Xenopus tropicalis: one gene and its partners. The protein of the gene in region 1 purifies or fractionates together with the protein of each later gene. This does not show direct contact. Links are inferred from orthologs where the notes say so. Each region holds a gene or a part of one and is shown in the gene's direction. Other genes may lie near its edges.

What was found.
Region 2: the proteins of capzb (region 1) and plekho1 purify together in Homo sapiens (co-immunoprecipitation; 3 studies listed by BioGRID and IntAct, counting the BioPlex papers as one, with this or other methods). This does not show direct contact. The link is inferred for Xenopus tropicalis from reciprocal best matches to the Homo sapiens genes CAPZB and PLEKHO1.
Region 3: the proteins of capzb (region 1) and twf2 purify together in Homo sapiens (co-immunoprecipitation; 3 studies listed by BioGRID and IntAct, with this or other methods). This does not show direct contact. The link is inferred for Xenopus tropicalis from reciprocal best matches to the Homo sapiens genes CAPZB and TWF2.
Region 4: the proteins of capzb (region 1) and arpc5l purify together in Homo sapiens (co-immunoprecipitation; 3 studies listed by BioGRID and IntAct, with this or other methods). This does not show direct contact. The link is inferred for Xenopus tropicalis from reciprocal best matches to the Homo sapiens genes CAPZB and ARPC5L.
Region 5: the proteins of capzb (region 1) and kiaa1671 purify together in Homo sapiens (co-immunoprecipitation; 3 studies listed by BioGRID and IntAct, with this or other methods). This does not show direct contact. The link is inferred for Xenopus tropicalis from reciprocal best matches to the Homo sapiens genes CAPZB and KIAA1671.
Region 6: the proteins of capzb (region 1) and cracd purify together in Homo sapiens (co-immunoprecipitation; 3 studies listed by BioGRID and IntAct, with this or other methods). This does not show direct contact. The link is inferred for Xenopus tropicalis from reciprocal best matches to the Homo sapiens genes CAPZB and CRACD.
Region 7: the proteins of capzb (region 1) and cnot2 purify together in Homo sapiens (co-immunoprecipitation; 4 studies listed by BioGRID and IntAct, with this or other methods). This does not show direct contact. The link is inferred for Xenopus tropicalis from reciprocal best matches to the Homo sapiens genes CAPZB and CNOT2.

The regions. Positions count from the first base shown.
Region 1 is NC_030683.2:129,989,719-129,993,218, forward strand, and holds part of capzb (F-actin-capping protein subunit beta), read left to right. Parts: intron 1-1,060; coding exon 1,061-1,150; intron 1,151-3,170; coding exon 3,171-3,292; intron 3,293-3,500. UniProt on the Homo sapiens protein: F-actin-capping proteins bind in a Ca(2+)-independent manner to the fast growing ends of actin filaments (barbed end) thereby blocking the exchange of subunits at these ends.
Region 2 is NC_030684.2:129,094,754-129,098,253, forward strand, and holds part of plekho1 (pleckstrin homology domain-containing family O member 1), read left to right. Parts: intron 1-647; exon of another isoform or gene 648-946; 5' UTR 947-1,081; coding exon 1,082-1,108; intron 1,109-2,893; coding exon 2,894-3,040; intron 3,041-3,500. UniProt on the Homo sapiens protein: Plays a role in the regulation of the actin cytoskeleton through its interactions with actin capping protein (CP).
Region 3 is NC_030680.2:128,268,045-128,271,544, forward strand, and holds part of twf2 (twinfilin-2), read left to right. Parts: intron 1-1,676; coding exon 1,677-1,802; intron 1,803-3,178; coding exon 3,179-3,329; intron 3,330-3,500. UniProt on the Homo sapiens protein: Actin-binding protein involved in motile and morphological processes. Inhibits actin polymerization, likely by sequestering G-actin. By capping the barbed ends of filaments, it also regulates motility.
Region 4 is NC_030684.2:28,258,065-28,262,283, reverse strand, and holds the start of arpc5l (actin-related protein 2/3 complex subunit 5-like protein), read left to right. Parts: upstream 1-1,419; 5' UTR 1,420-1,753; coding exon 1,754-1,899; intron 1,900-4,219. UniProt on the Homo sapiens protein: May function as component of the Arp2/3 complex which is involved in regulation of actin polymerization and together with an activating nucleation-promoting factor (NPF) mediates the formation of branched actin networks.
Region 5 is NC_030677.2:147,665,157-147,668,656, forward strand, and holds part of kiaa1671 (uncharacterized protein KIAA1671 homolog), read left to right. Parts: intron 1-3,314; 5' UTR 3,315-3,383; coding exon 3,384-3,500.
Region 6 is NC_030677.2:40,819,456-40,822,705, forward strand, and holds the end of cracd (cancer-related regulator of actin dynamics), read left to right. Parts: intron 1-104; coding exon 105-295; intron 296-1,144; coding exon 1,145-1,301; intron 1,302-2,132; coding exon 2,133-2,293; 3' UTR 2,294-2,750; downstream 2,751-3,250. UniProt on the Homo sapiens protein: Involved in epithelial cell integrity by acting on the maintenance of the actin cytoskeleton. Positively regulates the actin polymerization, by inhibiting the interaction of actin-capping proteins with actin.
Region 7 is NC_030679.2:59,329,634-59,333,616, forward strand, and holds the start of cnot2 (CCR4-NOT transcription complex subunit 2), read left to right. Parts: upstream 1-1,183; 5' UTR 1,184-1,193; coding exon 1,194-1,304; intron 1,305-2,061; coding exon 2,062-2,134; intron 2,135-3,983. UniProt on the Homo sapiens protein: Component of the CCR4-NOT complex which is one of the major cellular mRNA deadenylases and is linked to various cellular processes including bulk mRNA degradation, miRNA-mediated repression, translational repression during translational initiation and general transcription regulation.

The DNA.
Region 1 (3,500 bases):
ACAGCCCCCTAAGTTTGCCCATAGCCTGTACAGAGAGATACCATAAAACTATGGCACATAGGGATTCCCCTGTACTAAGCACAATTCAGCAGGAACAGCCCCCTAAGTTTGCCCATAGCCTGTACAGAGAGATACCATAAAACTATGGCACATAGGGATTCCCCTGTACTAAGCACAATTCAGCAGGAACAGCCCCCTAAGTTTGCTCATAGCCTGTACAGAGAGATACCATAAAACTATGGCACATAGGGATTCCCCTGTACTAAGCACAATTCAGCAGGAACTTGGGGACAGGGTCCCTTTGAGCAGTAATTGCTCGGCCGTTCCCCCCAGACTCAGTGCATGTAGCAGTCTTCTTACTTTCCCTTTACCTACAGCCGTTTCTCATCACCCAGAAGACTCTCTCTCTGCTTCCCATGACCTTTGGGAGCCGCTAGAGACAGTGGGATAAAATAAGCCGGTGTTTCCTGCGCAAATGCCCCGGGGCTCCCGCTGGGAGAGAGTCACCTGCGCTTCTGCTGGACCGGCCCCCTGTGCGCCAGATGCCCCCGCTGCTTTGTGTTTGGCCCAATATGTCAGCAGGGACCCCACTTCCTCGCCTCCTAATAACACCTTCCAGTCTCTCCGCTGATTGGCTGCATGGCTCCCTGTATTACTCAGCCCAGGCTGAGCATAGAATGCATCGATTGTAAGCTCTTGTGCAGAACTGGGCAGCCTTTTGCCCCGAACTTAGGGTATATGGATAAACATAGGGTTTTGGATAAACTTTTCCCATGGTTCAAATGGCTGAGCAGCCTGTAGCTCTGAAGCCCTCATCGCTTACTATAGGTCGCCCCCTGCTGGCCACGTAAGTGCTAGCACCCTATAGGGGATATGGAAACTCGCTATAAATGTCAATAATTGTAATTATCACGGCAGTGGGTCCAGCTTCAGTAGCCGTCTGGGCCTGAGTTCTGCATTCTGGCAACTTCTGGGTTTATAAACCTGTATTCTCTCCTTTTATTACTTGCCCTTTGTGCTCTAATTAGAATTAATGCGCCGTTTCCCCTTTCTTTTTCAGACTGAACAACAGCTGGACTGTGCCTTGGATCTGATGAGGCGTCTCCCTCCCCAACAAATTGAGAAGAACCTCAGCGACCTCATTGATTTGGTAAGGAAACCCCCTACGTCCGGGCTCACCCGCGGCCAATAGGTGCGGCCGTGCCCCGCGGCGCTGGGATATTGCCGTTGGTTGCACCAGGGGACTCCAGGAGCGACACATTTCCTCTGGTGCAACCAACTGCCCCCGTGATGCAGCAGGAAGAAACGTTGGGCTGAAGAGCTGACTAATAACATAGCAAGGACTGAATGTGGCCCTTGGGCACCTCATGCTGAGATTCTAGTTGAAGGCGGAAGGGCCCCGGCAGGGCAATTAGAGGAGGCAGAGGGGTCAGCGTTCCATACGTAGTTATATCTCCTGATCTCAGCCCCCCGGCCCTCATTAGTGCGTACCCTTTGCCTCGGCCATTGTCCTCTTCCTGGGACCAGCAGGCTATTAATTAGAGCACATTAGCGGCCCCGTCACTCACATGATTTCCCATCCACGCTAACGACTGAGGCCGCTGTGGGGCCCCCATCAGTGATTTGTGTGCTCTCCTCGCTACAGTTCTACAGTAGTGTCATGGCTGCCAGCACCAGATACAGACATGTTTCCATTGCTGGAGGGGATCTCACCATCAGCATAGGAAGGGGTTCCTTACTGTAAGGGCAGTCAGGTTATGGGATTCCCTACCAAGAGAGGGGGAATGAGTGATTCATTGGGGTTGGGGAGGAAAGGGGATCTCACCATCAGCATAGGAAGGGGTTCCTTACTGTAAGGGCAGTCAGGTTATGGGATTCCCTACCAAGAGAGGGGGAATGAGTGATTCATTGGGGTTGGGGAGGAAAGGGGATCTCACCATCAGCATAGGAAGGGGTTCCTTACTGTAAGGGCAGTCAGGCTATGGGATTCCCTACCAAGAGAGGGGGAATGAGTGATTCATTGGGGGTGGGGAGGAAAGGGGATCTCACCATCAGCATAGGAAGGGGTTCCTTACTGTAAGGGCAGTCAGGTTATGGGATTCCCTACCAAGAGAGGGGGAATGAGTGATTCATTGGGGTTGGGGAGGAAAGGGGATCTCACCATCAGCATAGGAAGGGGTTCCTTACTGTAAGGGCAGTCAGGTTATGGGATTCCCTACCAAGAGAGGGGGAATGAGTGATTCATTGGGGGTGGGGAGGAAAGGGGATCTCACCATGAGCATAGGAAGGGGTTCCTTACTGTAAGGGCAGTCAGGTTATGGGATTCCCTAACAAGAGAGGGGGAATGAGTGATTCATTGGGGGTGGGGGGAAAGGGGATCTCACCATCAGCATAGGAAGGGGTTCCTTACTGTAAGGGCAGTCAGGGTATGGGGGCTGCCAGTACTATGGGGGTATATTATATACAGAGCCCCAGGGTGGAGGAGAGGTGCCCCCCAGTTCCCAGGATGATGAAGGTTCTGCAGTATCCGGGGGGGTAGGATGGGGGGGACTGTATAAAGGTAGCTGTTACCCCCTCTTTTCCCACCTGGCAGCCGTGACCCCTCGGTTGCCCCCGTGTGTAGGAGCCGGCCACCCCGGCAGGTATCCAGTTTCTGGGCAGACAAAGGCTGATATTCTTGTGTGAGGGGTTTGTGAGTTTAATTAAGTCTGTGTAGGGCCGGAGCCAAGTGCATTATGGGGGGGGGGGGCAGCGCGGGGGTCCCAGGTACAACAAGGGCGGCCCTGTTCCCAAATCTCTATCAGAATCTCATTAACTTCTTTCAATTTGTCTTCTCTTTGTGTTCTGCCTCCTCAGATGTCTCCCCGAGCCCCTTTGCTTTCAGTGCCGTTACCCCCCCCCCCGCGCGCGCAGCGTGCGTCCCATAGCCCACCTGTATTCACCCACACCCCTCTCCCTGTGGTACAAGTGGTATCACCTGTGTGGGCCCTGGCTGCCTGCACCAATATGGCCGCCGTGCTGCTTCCCAGGAAGGTGGAGCTCAGAGGCAGTTAGAGACCTTTTTAAAGGGCAGTGGTGCCAATTGTGTGCCATTTGCCTACATTAAATACTAGCCAGGCCCGATTCTCACTTGCTATGTTCCTTACCTGGGGTTCTGGTTCCGCCCGTAGGTACCCAGTCTGTGCGAAGATCTCCTGTCTTCTGTCGATCAGCCCCTGAAGATCGCTCGCGACAAAGTCGTGGGAAAGGACTACTTGCTGTGCGACTACAACAGAGATGGAGACTCCTACAGGTCAGTACTCGGACCCATAAGGAGAGCAGGGATGTATGGGCCCGCACCCCTGGTTCTGCTCATTATGAAACAAACCCATCAGTTTGGGCTTCTCTGGGTTTCCCTGTGGTCTCACCAGTCTCTCATTAAAAGGGATGAAATCTAAAATAAATGGAAATACTCTCACTCAGAGGCATCTCTGGGCACTTTGTATGGTGTCTGAGACTGT
Region 2 (3,500 bases), on another chromosome or scaffold:
CCTAGCTCCGTGTGTAATACAGATACACCCCTAGCTCCGTGTGTAATACAGATACACCCCTAGCTCCGTGTGTAATACAGATACACCCCTAGCTCCGTGTGTAATACAGATACACCCCTCTGCCCTGTGTATAATACAGATTTTCCTCTGTCCTATGTATAAATACACATATACCCCTGACTCTGTGCATAATAAAGATACATTCCTGGCTCTGTGCATAATAAAATAAAGACATTTGTATAATACAGTACAGGGGTATCCCTGTTCTATGTATACTACAATACGGATATAACCCTGCTCTATGTATAATACACATACACCCCTGGATCTATATACCGTTGACCCCTTTGTTTGTGGTTAAAGCATATTTTCTGGCAACAGCTGATCTGTTGGGTTAATGGAGATTTAAAGAGTTTAAATTCCCAGACAACTGGAGACACATACATGCTATACACCATATGCCTTCTCCCCCAGTCAATTGCAAAGAAAGCAGGGATCATTTAGGGTAAGGTGGGAGCTGCCATCTGATTGCAGATGAGAGGTCAGGATCAGTAGGGGGTCTGGGAATTACACAATCAGACACATCTCCCCCCCCCCCTCCCCTCCATACATCCCTCTCCTCCTCCTCCTCCTCCTCCTTTCCCACCACTCCAGCCCCCCTTGCCTGCCTTCCAGCTTGGGGGGAATAAATGGGAAACAAAGGAGTAACCCTGACGTGTTGTAATGTCCTCTCTATTCTGATCTCACATCACACTCACAGTGACTCTCCATAGATGGAGCTACTGAACAGAGAAAGAGAGAGGGCAGAGGCAAGGAGGGGGGGTAGGCTGTGTGTGAGTGTGTGAGTGTGTGGCTGTTGCTGCTGAGTGTGGGGACATGACTGTGTGTGAGCTAAAGAGGCTTGGCTGGACTTAGTGAAACCAGATCTTGTGTGTCTGATCTGCAGAACAGAAGGCTGGAGAGGGAGCAGTGAGCGCAGACGGCACATCCACTGCTGCACCCAGGCAGGCACCCAGCAGCACCCTCCCATCCTCCCCTTGCACACTCTGGCCTCCATAGCCTCAGCCTCAGCCCTGGCAGCATGAAGAAGAACCTTTCTGCAAAGAGGGTGAGTGTTTCTTACTCTTCTATAGACACTGATCCCCCCCTCACCCCCTGTATCCCCCCTGTGTCTGGCCGGCCAGCCTCTGCCCTACATTCCCTGCTCTTATGGGTCTGAGCTGGGCAATTACTGGTCCCTTCCTTGGTTGCCCCCAGCCACACAGGGATGCAGCGCAGAGATATGCAGTAATATATATCCTCCTCTGGCTCCTTCAGCCCCCCACTGCATTGCATTGGTGCCATTTAGCTCTTCTTTTGTATATGCATTAATCTATTGGATCTACTGTATTATACAATAATCTGTCTATCTATCTATGTATCTATCTATCTATGTATCTATCTATCATCTATCTATCTTTATCCATTTATCTATCTATCTATCTATCTATCTATCCATCATCTATCTATCTATCTATCTATAAATATTGCACTCAGTGATCTATCTTCTCTCATATTTATATATAAATGTATGTATTTGTAATATTGTCTTGCTACATATTTAAATCTATACATCTCACTAAATGCTATTGTTGAATGCTGTATAGTTTCATTCATTGCATATAAATTTATAGATAGTACTTTTTAGATTGCAAGCTCTTGAGCAAGGCCCTCTCTACCTCTGTTAGTGGTCAGTACCTATATGTCATTTATATGTTTGATTTAAACACTCTTCAGTAGTACAGCGCTGCAGAATATGTTGGTGCTTTATCAATGCGTGTTAATAAGATAATAATAATAGTAACAATATTAATGATCATCATAATGTAATAATCATACCATCCCTTTGGATGTTTGTATCTCTGTGTATATGTATGTTTCTCTAAATATATATATAATTATATATATACTATTGTATAAGCACTGCTTTTATTGTACAATGCTGCAATAGCAATACTGTGTGTACATATAGCCGTGTGTGTGTGTGTATGCATAGAAATAGGCAATAAAGTTCCTATACAAACATGATATAAAAAAGTTCATATATTTAATTTATCATACCTCTAGGTAGGACAGTATAAAGAGGGTACTGTATTATTGTTATCATCAGTATGTATTAAAAAACACCAATATATTCTGCAGTGCAGTAAAGTAGAAGGGTGTATATCAAAGATATAGGTTGTGACTGCTACAGAAGGTTAAGAAGGACCTGCTCATTGGAGCTTACAATCTAAAAGTAGACGGGGGTAACTGTATGAACGATGCTGCTATTGTGATGGGAGGAATATTCTCACAAATGCATTATTCCTTACCCTGACCCTTGCCCTCTCTGTTACATGCATGCATAGTGTATTAAAAACACACATTCATATATGATTCTATATGGAAATGTTTGCATACCAACCAGTGTCACCATCAACCAGCAGATTTGCTTCCCAAGAGCTTACACTCTAGAGCCATGTAAGCTCTCCAAAGTACAGAACTCCCAGAATCGGAACAACGCTTGGAAGCTGTAGTAGTGGCCGGATATTGGATATGGAAAAGTATGTTGGTCGCTAATAGGACTGCGCTTCTATGTATATCGTCCAGCTCTATGTTCCTACCCAGTGTTGTATAATAGTATTTAATGAATATGCTCCTGCAATGGGTCATTGGGCACATTACTCCCTTGTTCTGGACCCAGTTCTCAGTTTGGTTAGGCAGTTTGGGTCAGTTACCCTTTCTTGGATTGGGCATATAAAGCTTAACCTTGGCTTCACTGGCCTTTGGGGCAAGTCTGCCAGCTGCCGACAGTTCATATTAATGTGATGGTTTCCCCTATATTCATCTGTGCTCCACCTTTTTAACTTCCCAGGGACCTTTAGATGGGAACCATGCCCCCTGCCAGCCAGAAAAAGTGGGATGGATTCGGAAATACTGCGGGAAGGGCATCTTCAGGGAGATCTGGAAGAACCGTTACGTGGCTATACGGGGGGATCAGCTCTACATATCGGAGAAAGAGGTAATGCCTATGTACAGAGCTTTGTGAATCAGGATTGTAGGCTGAAGCTATAGGATAATGTCACGGAACGCTGTACTATTTAATTGAAACCAGCCTTGTGTAGGAATGTGTGGGCCATATTGGGATGAGAACATGGGGATGATTCAGGCTGGTAACATGTCTCATCCCAGTGCTAAGAACCTTCATTCACTATGACTCCACTCCTTCCCTCTGGTTTCTGCTCCGCTTTGTTACCTATATGTCAGCTATTTCGATGTGATCCAAGGCGAATGGATGGCTGCTGAGCTAAGCCTTGTGTCACCTGGGAAACATTTGTATTTGTAAAGGAGAACTAATCCCAAGGCCACCATAGCCCTTTTGGGCAGTGACATACGTTTATATTAGTCGCCTGTGATAAATCTTCTCTACTGATGCAAATGGTTTTCCCATTTGTGGGGCTACTTTGGAAAAAATCCTCGCC
Region 3 (3,500 bases), on another chromosome or scaffold:
CCAAAAAAGTTGGGACAAGTAGCAATAAGAGGCTGGAAAAAGTAAATTTGAGCATAACGAAGAGCTGGAAGACCAAATAACACTAATTAGGTCAATTGGCAACATGATTGGGTATAAAAAGAGCTTCTCAGAGTGGCAGTGTCTCTCAGAAGCCAAGATGGGTAGAGGATCACCAATTCCCACAATGTTGCGCAGAAAGATAGTGGAGCAATATCAGAAAGGTGTTACCCAGCGAAAAATTGCAAAGATTTTGCATCTATCATCATCAACTGTGCATAACATCATCCGAAGATTCAGAGAATCTGGAACAATCTCTGTGCGTAAGGGTCAAGGCCGTAAAACCATACTGGATGCCTGTGATCTCCGGGCCCTTAAACGACACTGCACCACAAACAGGAATGCTACTGTAAAGGAAATCACAGAATGGGCTCAGGAATACTTCCAGAAACCATTGTCAGTGAACACAATCCACCGTGCCATCCTCCATTGCCAGCTGAAACTCTACAGTGCAAAGAAGAAGCCATTTCTAAGCAAGATCCACAAGCTCAGGCGTTTTCACTGGGCCAGGGATCATTTAAAATGGAGTGTGGCAAAATGGAAGACTGTTCTGTGGTCAGACGAATCACGATTCGAAGTTCTTTTTGGAAATCTGGGACGCCATGTCATCCGGACCAAAGAGAACAAGGACAACCCAAGTTGTTATCAACGCTCAGTTCAGAAGCCTGCATCTCTGATGGTATGGGGTTGCATGAGTGCGTGTGGCATGGGCAGCTTGCATGTCTGGAAAGGCAGCATCAATGCAGAAAAACATATTCAGGTTCTAGAACAACATATGCTCCCATCCAGACGTCATCTCTTTCAGGGAAGACCCTGCATTTTTCAACAAGATAATGCCAGACCACATTCTGCATCAATCACAACATCATGGCTGCGTAGGAGAAGGATCCGGGTACTGAAATGGCCAGTCTGCAGTCCAGATCTTTCACCTATAGAGAACATTTGGCGCATCATAAAGAGGAAGGTGCGACAAAGAAGGCCCAAGACGATTGAACAGTTAGAGGCCTGTATTAGACAAGAATGGGAGAGCATTCCTATTCCTAAACTTGAGAAACTGGTCTCCTCGGTCCCCAGACGTCTGTTGAGTGTTGTAAGAAGAAGGGGAGATGCCACACAGTGGTGAAAATGGCCTTGTCCCAACTTTTTTGGGATTTGTTGACACCATGAAATTCTGAATCAACATATTTTTCCCTTAAAATGGTACATTTTCTCAGTTTAAACTTTTGTTCCGTGATTTATGTTCTATTCTGAATAAAATATTAGAAGTTGGCACCTCCACATCATTGCGTTCAGTTTTTATTCACAATTTGTTTAGTGTCCCAACTTTTTTGGAATCCGGTTTGTACTTTTTGTTACTCTTTAGTTCTCCTTTAAAGTATTTCAGCCAGGATTCACCACTAACAATTGGTCAGTGGTCAATAAAGTACTACTGCAGTTAATTACAGTTTGAGAGTTACACTGACTAACTGGCATTCATTTAATATTCATTTATTTATTCATTATTGCGGGGTCTTCAACATCTTGGCAGATTAGTATCTGCACTTAGTCTCAAGGCTGTTTCTGTAAATCATGCAGTTTGATAATTAAGTTCCCCATTAACCCTCTGTGTCTCTCTCAAGGTGAAAACTGAAATCAGCGTAGAGAGTAAACAACAGACTCTGCAAGGACTCTCCTTCCCTCTAAGGCCAGAAGCGGAGGGGGCAATCCTGCTCTTAAAACAGAAGAAAATCAATTATATTCAGCTGGTAATTCTGTTCCTACTACTGCCAATATAAAGCCTTTCCTAATTCTTCCTTTTATTCACACATAGTGATTCGTAAAAAGTTCCTACTCTCCAAATTAAATCTTTGTATGTAATTCAAATCACAACAGTTATTACAGCTTTAAATGCAAAAATCAAAAAAAGAACAAAATATGACTATGAAATAGGAACCATGCCAAAAAGAAAGGTCTTAACCCCTAGATGAAAGCGAATAAGTAAACATCATTAAAATAAAAACAAAAAAGAAAAAATCCTTTGAATTAAGTAGTACAGGTATAGGATCCGTTATCCAGAGAGCTCTGAATTATGGATAGGCCCTCTTCCATAGACTCTATTATAATCACATAATTTTAATTTTTACAAATAATTTATTTTTTTCTGTAATAATAAAACAGTACCTTGTACTTGACCCCAGTTAAGATTAATTCTTGGTCGCAAAACAATCCTAATGGGTTTAATTAATGTATAAATAATTTTTTAAATTATAGAGATCCAAATGATAAAAAGACCCCTTATCTGAAAAAACCCCAGGTCCCCAAGCATTCTGGATAGCAGGTCCCATACTTGTAATTAAAAAGCCTTATGTATTTCCAGATCTGCCAGTACAATTAAAATACGTAACCCGTAAAATCAACATTAGTGCCATTATGGGAGAGGCCTCTCAAAAGTAATCGCTGCCCAATCTGCATATATACATAACATTAAATTAACAGTATATAAATATAGCATAACATAGTTGGAGTGTGGATAACAACAAATTGTGGTCTCTAAAAAGTCCAGACAAGGTATAGTTCAACACTCTGGATAGATGGAGCTTACTGATATCTGCATATATATAAATTAAACATTGCTAGAAAATTCCGGTTTTAATTACTCCTCTGAAAAATGGATATATTAGTTAATAGAAATAACATGTCTTTAACTAGAGGAGTTTTGTCCAAATCTCCTCCTGTTCTGTTACCCTAAAATTGTGAACCATCAAGATTACCACAATGGTGAAGATATAGGTGTTTGGCAATGGCTGATGTCAAATATAGCTAATAATCTCAGACCATGCCTGCCTTTGCAGTCCAGCTTATGTGATGTAGTGGGCCAGATATCCCACAGACTGAAAACCCAGATTCCATATTGTACTTCAGCTACAACAATGAAGACATTTTTGGAATTCCTGGCAGTCTTGAGTGCCCTAGCAGGGCCCATAACTTGTGGACCTCCATTTGCAGAGTTCTGACTTAGGCCAATAACTCTTGTGATCTGTAGAATCTTTTTTCCAACACCCACATTCTGCAAGTTTACCCACTAGTGCCTTTACCACTATCGACTGCCTTTTGGTTTTCTGAATGTCTTTCTGTTTTGTAGAGATTGGATCTAGAAAAGGAGACTGTAGACTTGGTTCATACAAAGCATACAGAGCTAAAAGATCTACCAGGGAGAATACCACAAGACACAGCCCGTTACCACTTCTTTCTATACAAACACTCTCATGAAGGAGACCACTTGGAATCTGTAGGTAAGGCTACAACTTGGGGATGAATGACTTCCAGCTCTGTGGGTATTGTGCCTGGTAGTTGCAGTTCAGTAGTATTTAGTCTTGCCCCACTTTTTGCTTTTTACATTCTTGATCAGTGTCTCATTAGACCACCAGGATTTTTCCCAGTGGGCCCTAGCAAAAGTTGCCCAT
Region 4 (4,219 bases), on another chromosome or scaffold:
ACAATTACAATGCACACACAGTTTAAGATATGAGTGCGTTTTTCTAGGTTAAATAATAATCAATATTACAATATGGAGGTCATAAGAGCCAGAAAGCAATTCATATGTCCAAGAACAACTCTCATAATTGCAGCTTTTAGTCAGCATTCTAGGGCATTACTTGTAATGATCGGCAGGTAAATTAACAGGAAAGTACAAACCTAGTAATGACCAAATCATGGTATTTTTTTGGCGCTGTCATTTACTGCCATTCTGATATAGTGGATAGTCCAATTGCCAATGCCATATCACCCTTGAAAAAATGATTTATATAATATTGCCAACAATCTGACCTACTAATTCACCACCCACAGGCACTAACTAGCTTCCATGTAAAGATGACCCCTTTGAAACTGGTCTCAAAATCCTGACTATATCACAAACATTGAGAGAAGGCAGGCACTCTGGTAGTTCACGTATCATGTGTTAGCTCAATAAAAGTTTTGTGATTTTACTTTACTTTCTCGTGGACAACCGCTTTTCTTCACTGAACTACCAGAGTGCCTGTCTTCTCTCTGTGTGAGGCAGTCTCCTCAACCTTATTTATTTGTTTGTAGAACCACATGGTGACTCTACCTAAGCTGATCAGAAAACCCTGCACTACACTGATGAGCCCCCAATAAGGGTGAAACCGGTCTGTAGTTGGGAATCTGATCAGCTATTGTCCTGGCTTCAGCTTCAAACCCAGTGGGTGAGCTGTAGCCTATAGGATAAACCCATGTAAATGGGATTTTTTTAAAGAGTCTGGAATTTGTTCCCAGAATTCCTTTTGTTTGCTTTTGTCTGCGTGAGGCAGTCTCCTCAACCTTATTTATTTGTTTGTCTTCTCTCAATGTTTGTGAGATACCCATGATGGCTCCCTCTAGCTGAAGGTCTGGGGCATGAGCACCTGGGCCCATCTATACTATGGGTGAGATTTACGAATTACTTCTGAGCATATGTTTACTTTTTTCTGTATCTTAAAATCCTGACCCTTAATATCCAATTAGCAATTCACTGATGTACCTTCTTTAAGGCTACATATAAATCTGCCTTGTGTGACTACAGCACGCATTTCAATTCCCAAGTAGTGTGGCACAATGTAAGTTTATTTCGTTTAAGGCACCATGCCTCCTCCATACAGTTATTTCTTTTCCGAATGTTGACATCTATGCCCCTAACTACTGTCCCCCAAGCCCCTGGGGTGACGGCCTGAGGAGTTGCTAAGCAACAAGAGGCCGCCATGTTGGCTTCTCGCTTCTCACGCGTTCATGTCAGTGACGCCATTCCGCTTCCGCTACACGCTCCGCCCTGCCGGAGTCACCGGAAGCGGAGGGAGCCGGCTGGACTGGAAGCGAGTGTCCGTGACAGCGGCCAAGCCCCCTTCCCTCTCAGTCGCCACTTCCCTCCCTGGTCACCCCCACCCTGAGTAGCTGCCGTCCGACCTAGCCAGGGAGTAAGCGCCTCAACACCCCCTTTTCATTGGCCTCCGCCCCCTTCCCTCCTCTCTCTCAGCCCCCAATTCCTGTCACACAGCTTCATTGAGAGAATTCATTGAGCCTTACTGTAGCCCCTAGCGATCAGTGGCCGCATTTTTGAAGGGGGTGCGTTTTGCTGTCAGGCTCATTGAGTGTTTGTAGTGGCAGTCGGTTCCTGTCACCTTCCCTGCGCTCACACCCTATCAGGGTGTCACACCCCCTTCCTGTGGGTGCTGCAGCCGGCCGGCTAGCCTAACATGGCCAAGAACACGCTGTCGTCGCGCTTCCGCAAGGTGGACATAGACGAGTACGACGAGAACAAATTTGTTGACGATCAGCTGCAGGAGGAACCGGCCGAGCCTCAGGGGCCCGACGAGGCCGAGGTGGACAGTCTGATCAGGCAATATCCTTTTACTGTATTACTGCACACCTAGGCCATCGCTCATGCTGTAATTACTGGAATGCTTAACCTGCAACCCTCTTGTCAGGGGGGGGGGGGGACTGATAAACAGTTTATTATTTTTTTAATGAAAAATGTTTCTTATGGGTGAAGACACATGTAGCTACTAGTACTTGTCATGGCTACTCAAATAGACAATGCTGATCATTTACTGATACAGGTATCGGACCCCTTATCCGGAAACCCATTATCCATAAAGTTCTGAATTACCAAAAGGCCGTCTCCCATAGACTCCATTGTGATCAAATAATTCACATTTTAAAAAATTATTTCATTTTTCTCTGTAATAATAATACAGTACCTTGTACTTGATCCCAACTAAGATATAATTACCCCTTATTGGGGGCAGAACAGCCCTATTGGGTTTATTTAATGGTTAAATGATTCCCTTTTCTCTGTAATAATAAAACAGTACCTGTACGTGATCCCAACTAAGATATAATTACCCCTTATTGGGGCAGAACAGCCCTATTGGGTTTATTTAATGGTTAAATGATTCCCTTTTCTCTGTAATAATAAAACAGTACCTGTACTTGATCCCAACTAAGATATAATTACCCGTTATTGGGGGCAGAACAGCCCTATTGGGTTTATTTAATGGTTAAATGATTCCCTTTTCTCTGTAATAATAAAACAGTACCTGTACTTGATCCCAACTAAGATACAATTAATTCTTATTAGAGGCAAAACAAGCCTATTGGGTTTATTTAATGTTTAAATAATTTTATTAACATACTTAAGGTATGGAGATCCAAATTACGGAAAGACCCCTTATCTGGAAAACCCCAGGTCATGAGCATTCTGGATAATGGGTCCCATACCTGTAATTGTCTCTATGTGTGCGTTTTAGCAGAGGCAAGTCTCAGTATTGTCTATGGCAGGGTGTTTTCTGGAGTTAAGTAGCCATGAAAAAGTAGCTACTACTAGTAGCTCTGTGTGTCTTCACCCTAAAGCGAGTGGGAGCTAAAAATGTTACGGTGGAGCTAAGTAACTTGCAGCTATGCCCCTGCCTCTAGCAGTTGTTTCTGCACATTTGCCAGTATCACTCTTCGTGCCTCCCTTGTCCTGGGAGTGGTGGGTAACAGCTGGGGGTACGTACATAGTTTAATATGCATTGACTCATCCTTTGCTGATAACAAAGATTCAGTTATAAAAAGCAATGATATGAAAGGCTGTGACAGAACAAGAGGCTGGTCAATCATTGTGAGTGGGAAAGACTGGTAATTGCTGGCCCCATGCAATCCAGTGTTGCAGGTTTATTGATACTTTGCTTACATTCTTTAGCAAACATTATGGCTGTACACATGGTGGTGCTAGTTAGGGGCTGAGCAGTCTGGATGTATGGTTACAACTCCAAGGCTTGTGTTTGTTAGAAGAGAAAAATCCAATCGGCCATTTTAGCTACACCTTGTAGGTATGACTGTAGTTGCGGTATTTATAATTGATTTTAATAAAGGCATGTACTGAATCCTTCATTTTTAGATTCAGCTGAATCCTGCATTAACAATATAGCAGAACGCTGAATCTAAATTGTATTATTACATTTTAACAGAGAAAATCAAATATATCAACCTGGAGGAAAAAAACAGCCCTATTTTAGTTAACTTTTTTAGGTCTCCTTAGTGCTGGCTTAGGTTAGTGATACACAGGGCTGTTTCCCCACCTGCGTAAAAATGGGAACAGGCCAATGCAAGTGGATCCATTCCTTCTTACTAGTGGACTGACCGGCATGTCGGCAGCCTGTGAGCGCAGACAGAAAGTGAATTCCAACAATAAATTCATTATAGGGTGTTGATTGATTCATAAGCCAGAGAAATATACTGCTTAGAATGTCCAAATGCCAGGCCATTGATAGTTTTCTAATGTTACTTATAAAATTTAGGCAAAAGGTACTTCTTTGAAATAAGTTGGTGATGTGGGTTCTCTTAAAGTAACATTAAAAAAAAAAAAATGATGAAGGTATTGAAATATATAACGTACTGCTGCCCTGCACTGGTAAAACTTGTGTGTTTGCTTCACAAACTCTACTACTGTTAAATAAATAAGCTGCTGTGTAGCTATGGGGGTAGGTATTTAGCTTGAAAACAAGAAAAGGCACAGATTGCATATCAGATTTGCTCTGTATCTGTGGCATCTAACCCAGTTTCAACTCGAATGGCAGCCCCCGTGGCTACACAGCTACTTATTTTCAGGCCTGGATTTGTGGGCAAGCCACAAAGGGCCATGCCAAGGGCACCAAGGATCTGGTGGCAGCATGCTGCCC
Region 5 (3,500 bases), on another chromosome or scaffold:
ACTGCTTGCTGCCCTTAACCTGTACCTCTGCTGTGTATGTTTTATTCAGCTTATGCTATTACTTTATTCCTTTCACTACTGTTAATTATTATTAAGAGTACTTATTATTCATAATTAGAGTATCAGAAATATATTTAGTATTGTGGCAAAATACAACTTTGGAAAGCCCTTTTTATTTTGGGAAAGTAAATATTCAGACAAATCCAACATGGATGCATGTAGTTCTACACCATTCTTACAAAGGGCAGAGCTTTGCTAAAGTTAGCAAACTGGCTATGTTTTATGCAGTGTACAAGCCCCAAACAATGAGATGATCCCAGAAAACCACATTTCTTTTGGAAAGTAGATTTTCAAAATCTGCAACTGTCTTTGCTTTAATCTACCAAACTGCAAAGCTTGGCTGAACTTGTTTTATGTTTACAATTGCACCATATTATAGCCAAAATAAAACCAAATACTCACAATAAGCAATATAATCTCTAATATGCCTGAGTAGGATAATACACCTGGATGCACCAATAATTACAGATATAACAATTTGTTTTTTTGCATTCTAGTTTCTCATACACAAATGAAAAAGTGCAATAAAATCAGCCAAAATAATAAAATAAGTGATCACACAGTGTGCCCTAATCAACTACTCACAGTGCACAACTATAGTTTTATGGTCAAAAACAAGTATTGAACAAGTGCAAAACTAATAATGCCATAAAGTCATTCAAATCAATAACATAACAAAGGTTTTGACAAGACCATCTGATTACTGGTCAAAGTACCTAATCTAGGGCAAAGACAAGATACAAAGTAGTAAAAAAATAGAATGTGTACACACATTAATTGTAGGTATGTGCATGCGAGAGTGCAAACATGTAGAATTGTAGTCAGAAGTATTGACCTTGTTTATCAAGTATTTTGTGTATTCACGTGTGTCTCTTACCTGGAAAGCATCAGAATGGCTAATGACACCAGGACAAAGGATCCAAAAGAAGTGTTTAGGGGGATACAGGAAGTGTCCAAACACTAAACATGTTGCATGTACATTGGTAGTGTATGCTTCAACAACATATATATTAGTGCAATTTAAGGCTAATGCTAGACAGGGCTGATTCTCGGCCTGTGGATAAATGCAGGCCAATGGAGTGGAATTGGTGACAGAATGCTCTTGTATGTATTTTGCTGCTGAAATCTGCTCTGTGTGCCTGTACTCCAAAGACGCAATGGCTGAGTGCAGGCACAGGGATAGGCTGATCAAATGTAGGGGGCTGATCCTCAGCCTGTGTTTATCCGCAGGCTTAGAATTAGCCCTGTCTGGTATTAGCCATATGGAGAAGGAAAGGGTTAATTACTGGGGGTTGGGAAGGTTGCAAAATGTTAGGCACCCCAGTGATTATAATCACTTGATACCATGGTCCGGTACACCTATTAGCAGTAAAATGCATCTGCTCGGGGTCCTTTCACAGAGTACCACAAAGTGATCATCTTCTTCGACTTATTTATTTTTCTATGGCTTCACGCACTGTAGCGTGAAAAGGCTATTTTTTTTTCTTTCTTGTGCTCTGGTGTGAAGAAGGAAGAAGCATCAAGAGTATTGTTCTCTGGTGTTAACTGAGAAGTACCCTGGGTTGATGCACTGGGAGTTATATTCACTGGGGGAGTGGGCAAAATAAGCCTACAGTCACTTCCCATAAAGTTCCTTAACAAAAAAATCAGGAAATGACCACAGCCAATGTTTATGTATGTGTGTGTGTGGGTTTGTATGTATGTAGATAGAGATATAGACATCACAAAATAATCCCCCTGCATAATTGACCCACTTGTAGAAGAAATATAGTGCCCCTTCAGGAGTACATATTTGTGAGTCCCAGCCTTATTGCGTGCATTGAACATTTCTATTACATATTTGTGTTTATAACGTGTGAGTGGGAGCTGTCTACCAAGCAAAACCAATGACCATGTTAAATGCATATGTGTATCATTTAAATTAGTGATGTCCAACTTTTTACATGAAGTGGGCTAAGTTTTTCTCTCTAGCATGTTCGAGTGCCGGATTAAATGAAAATGATGTCATATAGGGAAGTCTGTGGAGCCTTTGAGCAGAGTGGGGGCCATAAAAAACCTTTGGAGGGCCACATCCGGCCTGTAGACCTCCAGTTGGACAGCCCTGATTTAAATAATCAAATTTAAAAATAATCAGTTTATGTTGCAGTGTAGCTCCCAGTGGAGCTGAAGTAGCCAGTTATTTGCTGCTATCTTGATTCGTTTTTGGAAACTTAAAGGATTTATTAAAGGAAAATGTCTGGCTGTGCTGTGCTTTGTTGAACACATGGTGATATAGAAAAACAGCAAACAATGGAAAAAATCTTCACCTAACTCAAATCTAATTTTACCTGTTCTTCTCTTGCTATGTGTAGGCCCTTCTATATTTTTAAAACTTATTATAATTTTCTCTATCTATGATTTTATCAATTTATTCTTTAAAATAAAATAAACTGTTTAAAACAACATTCAAAACAGCAACTAAACCAAAAATTTTATCCATATTGCTGCTATTGATAAATGTATGCTCATAAACCTCTTTCATATACAGGGTGCTAACAAAGTATCTGTTGATTTACCTTTTAATTTTTTTCTTATCTACTGTTTTGGGTGCTTTTACAGCTGTTATATGCAAGCAGGTATCATAGTATTTCTGACTAAACGCATCTTTTGGTTTAGTTTAAGCAGGATTCATGACTTAAACGGCATGCTCAGAATGCAAAGTGTAATTAAGATCATGCTATGCCTCGAAAACTAGATATTAATAACTGTGAGGCCCAAACTTAAAAACAAACAAAAACCTTAATAGTTTGATGGATTCTTGAATTTGCAATTTGTCAAGATCTGTCCTGTCTATTTACTATTGTTAAAACAATTTGTTTACATACTAAATATCCCGATATCAATTGTCTTCTTTAGCCATTTGCAAATTTTACTTGTATTGAACTGAGCTGATCATTGATTGACCATTTTGTGCTATTCTGTAAATTCAGCAGGCCAAATTCTAACCTATCATCCTTGATGTGTTGTTCCAAAGATTAAAGAAAGGACAGGGGTAAAGAAAAAAGTGATAATAATGTAAGAATGAGAAACAGTGGAATATAATCCAACTAATAGGCATGTACTAATTGCATCTACTTTGAATGTAATCATTTGGAAAGTAGTCCAAAAGGGTAGAGACACACAACATTTTCATTTTAAAGAAAAATGTGCCGTGATAAACAATATTTATTGTCTCAGCTAAATTATTAACTTTAAGTTGTATTTTCATATTTCAGTATCGTTGGTTTGATGGTTACGGCCACTTGGATGGATATTTTCCATATGGAATACTAACTGGCAACACCATGGCAACAAAAGTAGAACTCACTTCCCCTTTATCATCAAGAACACCTCAAGCCAGTCTAAGTGACATGCTAAATGAGGTTAAAACTTCAAGGACATACACCAGTCCACTTTCAGAT
Region 6 (3,250 bases), on another chromosome or scaffold:
ATCACCTGCAGTTGAAGGCTTACAGGGGATGCTACTTCTACCTATCACTCCGTTGCCCATGGTGACTTTCATTAATAATGCATTTGTGCTATGTGTCCTTTTAGATAGGCCAACTCTTCAGAGCCGTCATTCCCTTGATGGTACCAGGCTGATGGAAAAATCAGAGACAGCGCAGCCTCTCTGGATAACATTAGCCCTACAGAAGCAGAAAGGATTTCGGGAACAGCACGCTTCCAGGGAAGAGAGAAGACAAGCCAGGGAAGCCAAACTGTCAGACAAGATCACTAAAGAAAATGTAAGCAGGTTAATGAAAATATTCAGCATATGTAAGGGTTGACACCCGTTTAATGGAGACCTAACCCCCCCCAAACTGCCCTCTATTGCATCCCACCTCCCTGCACCCTCCCCACAGAGTCTATTAGATGGAAAAGTGTCCCAGTCTGGAAAACTAACTTAGATGTAGAGTAGTGTAGTGGCATTTCCATCTGCCATCTTCTGGACCTTCAGATTTTGTTTGAAAAGTTCTACAACGTACTTGACGCTAGGATTCTGGGATTAGCTCCAACTGTGCATATGCCAAAAAGCTCAGTCCATCAGCAAAGTTAAGAAAATAGTACGTATGAACTCCACTGTGCTACTCTGCATCTATACCTTTCCAGATGGGGACATTTTTCTACCTGCTGGGAGTGAGGAGGGAGGGGGCCAATTGAAGGCAGTATGTGAAGCTTTTCTCTGTGGGGGTTTAGTTCTTTTCGATACTCAATATATATTCCACACTCATGATGGTTCTAGCTATGATTATATTGAAATGTCATTTCTAAAGCTATCATTGCAAGAGATAGTGCTTAGGTAGAAATAAGAAGAAAAAGTATAAAGACATCTTTAAATCTTTTGGGGTAAGTACAGTATGTACCAGCTTTGTGCCATAGATTCTCAATGAATAGTAGTCCATTGTAGAACATTCACCACTTGGTATTGAGCCGCTCCAGTGTTACTTTGGCTTTGTGTTTGGACCAGACACCTGCTGGAAATGAAGCTTATTGTGTGCACGGTACCATCCTTCCCTCTACTTTGAATACATATGACTGACCTATGACTTTGATATGTTAGTAAAACCTGATTTTTCTGAATTATCCATTAAAAGGCCAGTGAGCCTGTCATAACAGGAGAATACAGAAACAGGTCTGGATCCCTGCAAAAGCCAGTAGCCCAAGAGGAGAAGAAATGTGAGACCGTAGTGACTCGCCTGCAGCGCAGAGAGCAACTACAGAAATCAAACACACTTCCCACGTCTGTCACAGGTGAGGTGAAGGAACAAGTCTCAAATGTTATATTATTAAGCAATTCCACCCGGTTAATGTCTGGGGCTCTGGGGGTTTTCTGTCTAAATTTGATTTTTGCACTTCATGTTTGAGCTTTGTTTTATACATCTAATTATCCTTTTTGTGCTTAAGTTGTATGTTTTTTTTGTTAGTTATATTTGGCATGGTAATTTTTTGTATATCTTATTCTGTAGCTATGCACCCAATGCCTTATTGTGCTTGTGAGATAGATGAGACTTATTTTTTTTTACATAACTGATAAGGAGAGCCAAGTTTCATTGTTGACGGCTAGTTACAAAGCTGCAGTAGAGAGGGAGTCACTGCATTATAACATTGGTTTTGCTTTAAGCCATGTTGCATCTGCCCCTCTGGTTTAATAACATGGGAATCCACATCCATTTACTCATTTCACTCTCCTCCAGTCTATACAGATATCTGAGAAATACATATGCAAAATATATATATCTTTATTTATATAGAGCTACCAGTACCATGTACATATTTACAAAACAGTGAAAGTACAAACAGAAAAAATATTGCAATAACATCAAAATAAATATACACAATAGTAAAAATGTATACATCTTTTACTCAGTAAAGGCGCAAACTTCCCCTTAAATGACCATTTTCTTTCTAGAATGTCTATGGCCCATTTAATAGTTCAACAACCATGATTTTTACCTACATCATTTTGTTCTTCTGAATCTGAATGGAACTTGATGGCTTATATCTATGCATTGTAATTACTTCTGTGTCTGCCCCCACTGAGTGCTGAGAAATATTCTTGCATCTTCCCTTTGTCTCTCACAGTGGAAATCACAGATGCAGTTCAAGTTCCTCCTCTAGCAAAGGATATTCCAAAGCGATTTTCTACACCAGATGCTTCTCCTGTGTCATCAGAGCCCGCCTGGCTTGCCTTAGCCAAACGGAAATCAAAAGCCTGGAGTGACTGTCCGCAGATTATTAAGTAAATATCTTGTCCCAGCTAAAAAGAAGCTAATTAGGTGTCCCTAAGCTTTGTCTGTGGTCTACTGTATGGATGTTATGGCAAATACAGTAATAATAAGTGGTCTGTTCCTGGGCTATATACAGAAATAATCGAGCGCATTTGTGCCTAATTGTTATAATGGTGAAATGTGATACTCTGTATTGGAACAGTAAAAATGTCCTCCTGTACTGTCTTCTTAACAAAGTCATGGTACTCCTTGGGGAGAAATAGGGCTGTATTAATTGACAATTCTGCTTTCCTGAACATGGCAGCCTGCATACGATATTATATGAAGCAGCGATGCCCAACCGTCAACCCTCCAGCACAACTTCCAGCGTTCTTCTACTGCCAGGAGATTCTGGGAGTTGTAGTATAACAAGTGATGGAAAGTTGTCGTTGTTGACCATCCCTGATCAAGACCAATACACTTTGTACACTTCTTGGTGGATTAATATTTTGCACACTCTGGTACTATGTGCCTCTACTAAAGCCACATGAATGTTCTGCTGATATTCTATTGATGTGCACACGTCATTCCTTGCAATGCTACTAGACTTAGTTCCTATAGGGTTATAGTTATAGCCTTTTAACTTTAAATCACCTTTCTTGTAAATGAACCGCACTGACCCTAAAATTGTTCATGTAGATCAGATGCAAAATGTGGTCAGGACATATTTAACCCACAATATGGATCCAATACTGTAAAGTGCTAAACCAACCCTTGAAGGATACAGCCAACATATTGTATCATATTTTCTTGTAGGTAACAACCAAGTTGACACATTTTACAAGTTGCCCCATTTTTATTTAATTTTTTTATACAACTATTTCTAACTATTGCTGTATTCATTCATTTGTTTTTAGAGTACAGGAAATAGTGTGTCCATACTCCTCCATGTGCTCATACCCAGCCCTGATTGGCTTATAAGCAACGAATAGC
Region 7 (3,983 bases), on another chromosome or scaffold:
GTTTCCCACATATTCGATAGTTATAATTGTTTGTGGGGGGGGGTGTGTGGAAATACCAGTTATATCATAATGCTCAATAAGATCTTTTAACTGTAGCCCTCACAATTTGCCCAAAAAGCTATTTGCAGACAGTTAGTTAGTTGTGCCATCACACATGGCATGCTTATTAGAAGGGGCCGCTGCAATTGCGTCTGGCAAGATTAAGTCTAATAAGGTCTGAAAGACTCTTTTCTTATTATTAAAATACATTGACTGTCGGATGTGGCTGCATAAACAAAACATTCCATCCGACTTTATTTAATCTGACGTGCATTACATCAGAGGGGATCATATTTTGTAGGATTCCACAAAATCTTGCAGTTGTGTGACAATATTTTGTGGGTCAGATAAAATATCAAAATATCATGTAGTTTAAATCTCTTGGTGGTATCTTTTTTTACCACTATACTTCGCTACATTCTCACGTGAATTTATTTAACCCTGTCTAATCTTACTTTATTAGACCCCATTCTGCCTAGGTGCTATCCTTTACAGCTTTAGAGGTCGCACCCCAACAGAAAAATTAACCCAATGGTTAAGGAACACAAAACTTTTTCCCCTACTAATACTTTAGCCTAGCCAGTTTGGCTCAAAAAAAAAAAATGCTCAAAAATGTATTGATTAACTGTCCCAAATCAGTGCTATTACCCTGAACCACATGTGTCCTTTAGCAATTTACCAAATGCGATCACCCCAGTTTTTGCACTCTATATGCTGACTTAAAAAATATGCCTTATTGATGTTTTTTTTTTCTTCTTATAACTACACTTTTATAGAACAGTTAGTTAGTGAATATTCTTTCCACAGAATAAGTGATCCAAATGAGTCCCAGTGGTTGTATTTATACTATCTGGTCTGCTGATGAGACAGTCGAACATAAAATACTTTTCCATTTTTTCCAGTCCAGTGAAAGCATCCGTATATCCGTTGGTATTAACTTAATGCTATTTTTGTATTTATTTTTATATTTAAGCTTGAATTATCTGATGGGATTTATGTGGTTGCTCAGAAATAGTGGTTAAACGTATTTTGTGTTCTTTAGGCTTTTCAAACAAAGTAAATAAAGTATCATCAGTTTTAGTTTTAGAGAAAATCACAGCGTCTGTCTCACTGGTGTAATCTTATTGCTTTTTAATTTTTAGGTGACATACAGCATGTTTGGTGCTTCAAGAAAGAAGTTTGTAGAAGGTGTCGAAAGTGACTACCATGATGAGAATATGTATTATAGCCAGTCTACGATGTTTCCACATCGGTCGGAGAAAGATGTAAGTTGAGTTTCATAGCAAAATGCTGCAAATAACTTTCAGAGCACACAAAATAGAAGTATTCTTGTGTTTAGTGTGTAAGTTATAACTGCAAAGGTTGGGGACTTGGGTGCATGTTCCTGTGAGTGGCAATACCTTTGGTGGACAATTTAAGGCACAGATATATAACAATATGTAAACAGTCCTAAAGTACAACATAGTGTAAAATCCCATGTGTCTATAAAGCTGCAGAAAGATTTATGTGTAGCAGATTTTAAAATTCTATTATAAAAGGAGCTGTAAATTTCAGCTGTAGTCTGACAAAATAAAATACCTTTTATAAACACCATGGTTTGCTCTTTGTAATTGTGATGTATGGTGTTAATTCATGTATAGTTACAAACAAGGTTTATAAATACATTTAAAAAGACAGCTTGCATTGTAAATAAGCACAGTTGGCTTTTAACAGTTTCACACCACTGTGTTTTTTTTTTCTGGCAAAAAAGTACTATGCTTGTATTTCAACATATTCATGAGTGCTTATGTTGTTAAACTATCATACTTCTGAAGCAAAATAAAGAACCTTTTTATATGGTGAAGTAAGGTAACCCAGTAACTTTGTGTAGCTGGAAAAATTATGTGGAAATTTAAAGATAGTCAGTCTAGATCTTGACTGATTTAGAGATTGTTGGGTATACATTTTTGTGAGCCTTCTCTCATTGTGTTCATTTGCACTAATGATATATAAATATATATATATATGTTTCGTGTTATTTAGATGCTGGCATCTCCATCACCATCCGCATCGGGTCAGCTGTCACAGTTTGGGGCCAGTTTATATGGACAACAAAGTAAGATTCTTTTGGCTTATGAGGAATTGCATCCTTTGGAAATGAATCCTTTTATGTGTTTATATTCATATTGACTGTCTCCTGTAGAGTAAATTCTACTTCAGGGGGAGTTTAATTAAAGGTCGAAAGAGTATAGGCTCTTAGTCACATTTGGTTGGATGAATATTTCAAACAATGCGAGTGTTACAGTGTGTTACCGTTATATTTAAGTGCACAGAACTAAGTGACTTTCTCTTCTGATACTTACTAAAATGCCTTATTCTGTATGGGTTAGGAAGTGCCATTTTTGCTTAGTGGGTTAGTGTTAGTACTTGAGGGACCTTTCACGACACTCACAATAACCGAAACAGAGTTATGAACCACCTTATCCAATCACTGAATAAAGAAATGTTTAATCACACAATATATATTTGGTCCTTTTCTTTGCTTCTAAAACCATAATTCTCTACTCCTCGCGTCTGGGTTCTAGGTTTATCCCACAGATATTCACTTGGGTTAAGGTCAGGATTCTGTGCAGACTGTTCAAGTTCTTTAACTCCCATCCCAGCAACCAAATTTGGTATGGACTTTGCTTTGTACATAGGGACATTATAGTGCTGTAACAGGCAAGTGCCTTCCCCCACATTGTTGCCAGGAAGAATGATATTGTAAAGAATGTCATTGTATGATGGAAAGGCGCCAGTGGCAGCAACAATGGGTGTCTTAAATCGCCAATTCCAATAGAATACTTGTGACCATAATGTGTAACTGCATATCTAATGTATCTAGCAGGTCTAAACTGCAGGAGCATCATATGGCATTTTTAACTGGTCTCCTGCCAAAATATAAGCTGATAGTTTAAGTCCCTTAAACTAGGTTAATGCATTTATAGTTGCATTAATTAAATAAGAATTTGGACAAATAATTAACTTATATAGACTAACAAATCCCCCCGTTGTAGGTAAGGATTTTTTTTCCCCTTTATCGCCTAAAAAATTATTATTTAGTTACATAGTAAAGGTCATTATTCCGAATTATAAAGTTGTATCAGAATCTGACAATTTCATAGGGTCTACTGAATATTGCAAGTATTCACTTGCAGGGTCTACTGGTACTGCCTCCAAGATGAATATTAATCTTGAATAAATATCAGATTAATTTCAGCACTGCCATGCAGCCATTTTTTAAAAATATACTGATTTACAGAAAGCATTGGTTGAACTGCATTGTCCAATGTGTAGACAACACAGGACCAAACAATGACTAGGGTATTCCCATGGCAAATCAATGAGAAACTTACTAGTGCTCATGCTTTGGGCCATGGTTGCGGAACGATTTATATTTTAAATATTGTTAGGCTTAATCTTAATATCATCTTTGTCCTCCACCTGAATCCAGCATATCTGCTCTTTGCTTTCTGACCTAAAGGCTAATGTTGAAAAGCTTCTACATACTGCAATTCATTCTATAAAATGCCCCCTGCAGTGCTAGGCTTGGCTGCACTGGGGGCTCCCTCCCAGTAGAGCTAGCCTAGCACAGGCAGGGACACTTTTTTTTTTTTGTTCTTTAAAAACTTGTTTCCCACAACCAGAGTGCTGGCTCTATTAGCCCGCACCTCCTGGGGGGGGGGCAGTGACAGGTACACTTTAATACATTTTCTTATATATAGAAAAATGCATACCCCCTCCACCATATTTATATTTTTGAACAACACGTTAATTTATGTTTACCTTAAAATCTAGCAATTTTTCCCAAAAGTAAATGTCTATTTAGTCTCATAATATACCATTAACATTCATTAATCATTTTTAGCCTTGCAGGGAAGAGCATACTATATCTTATATTAAATAACCAGAATTCCTGTTTTACT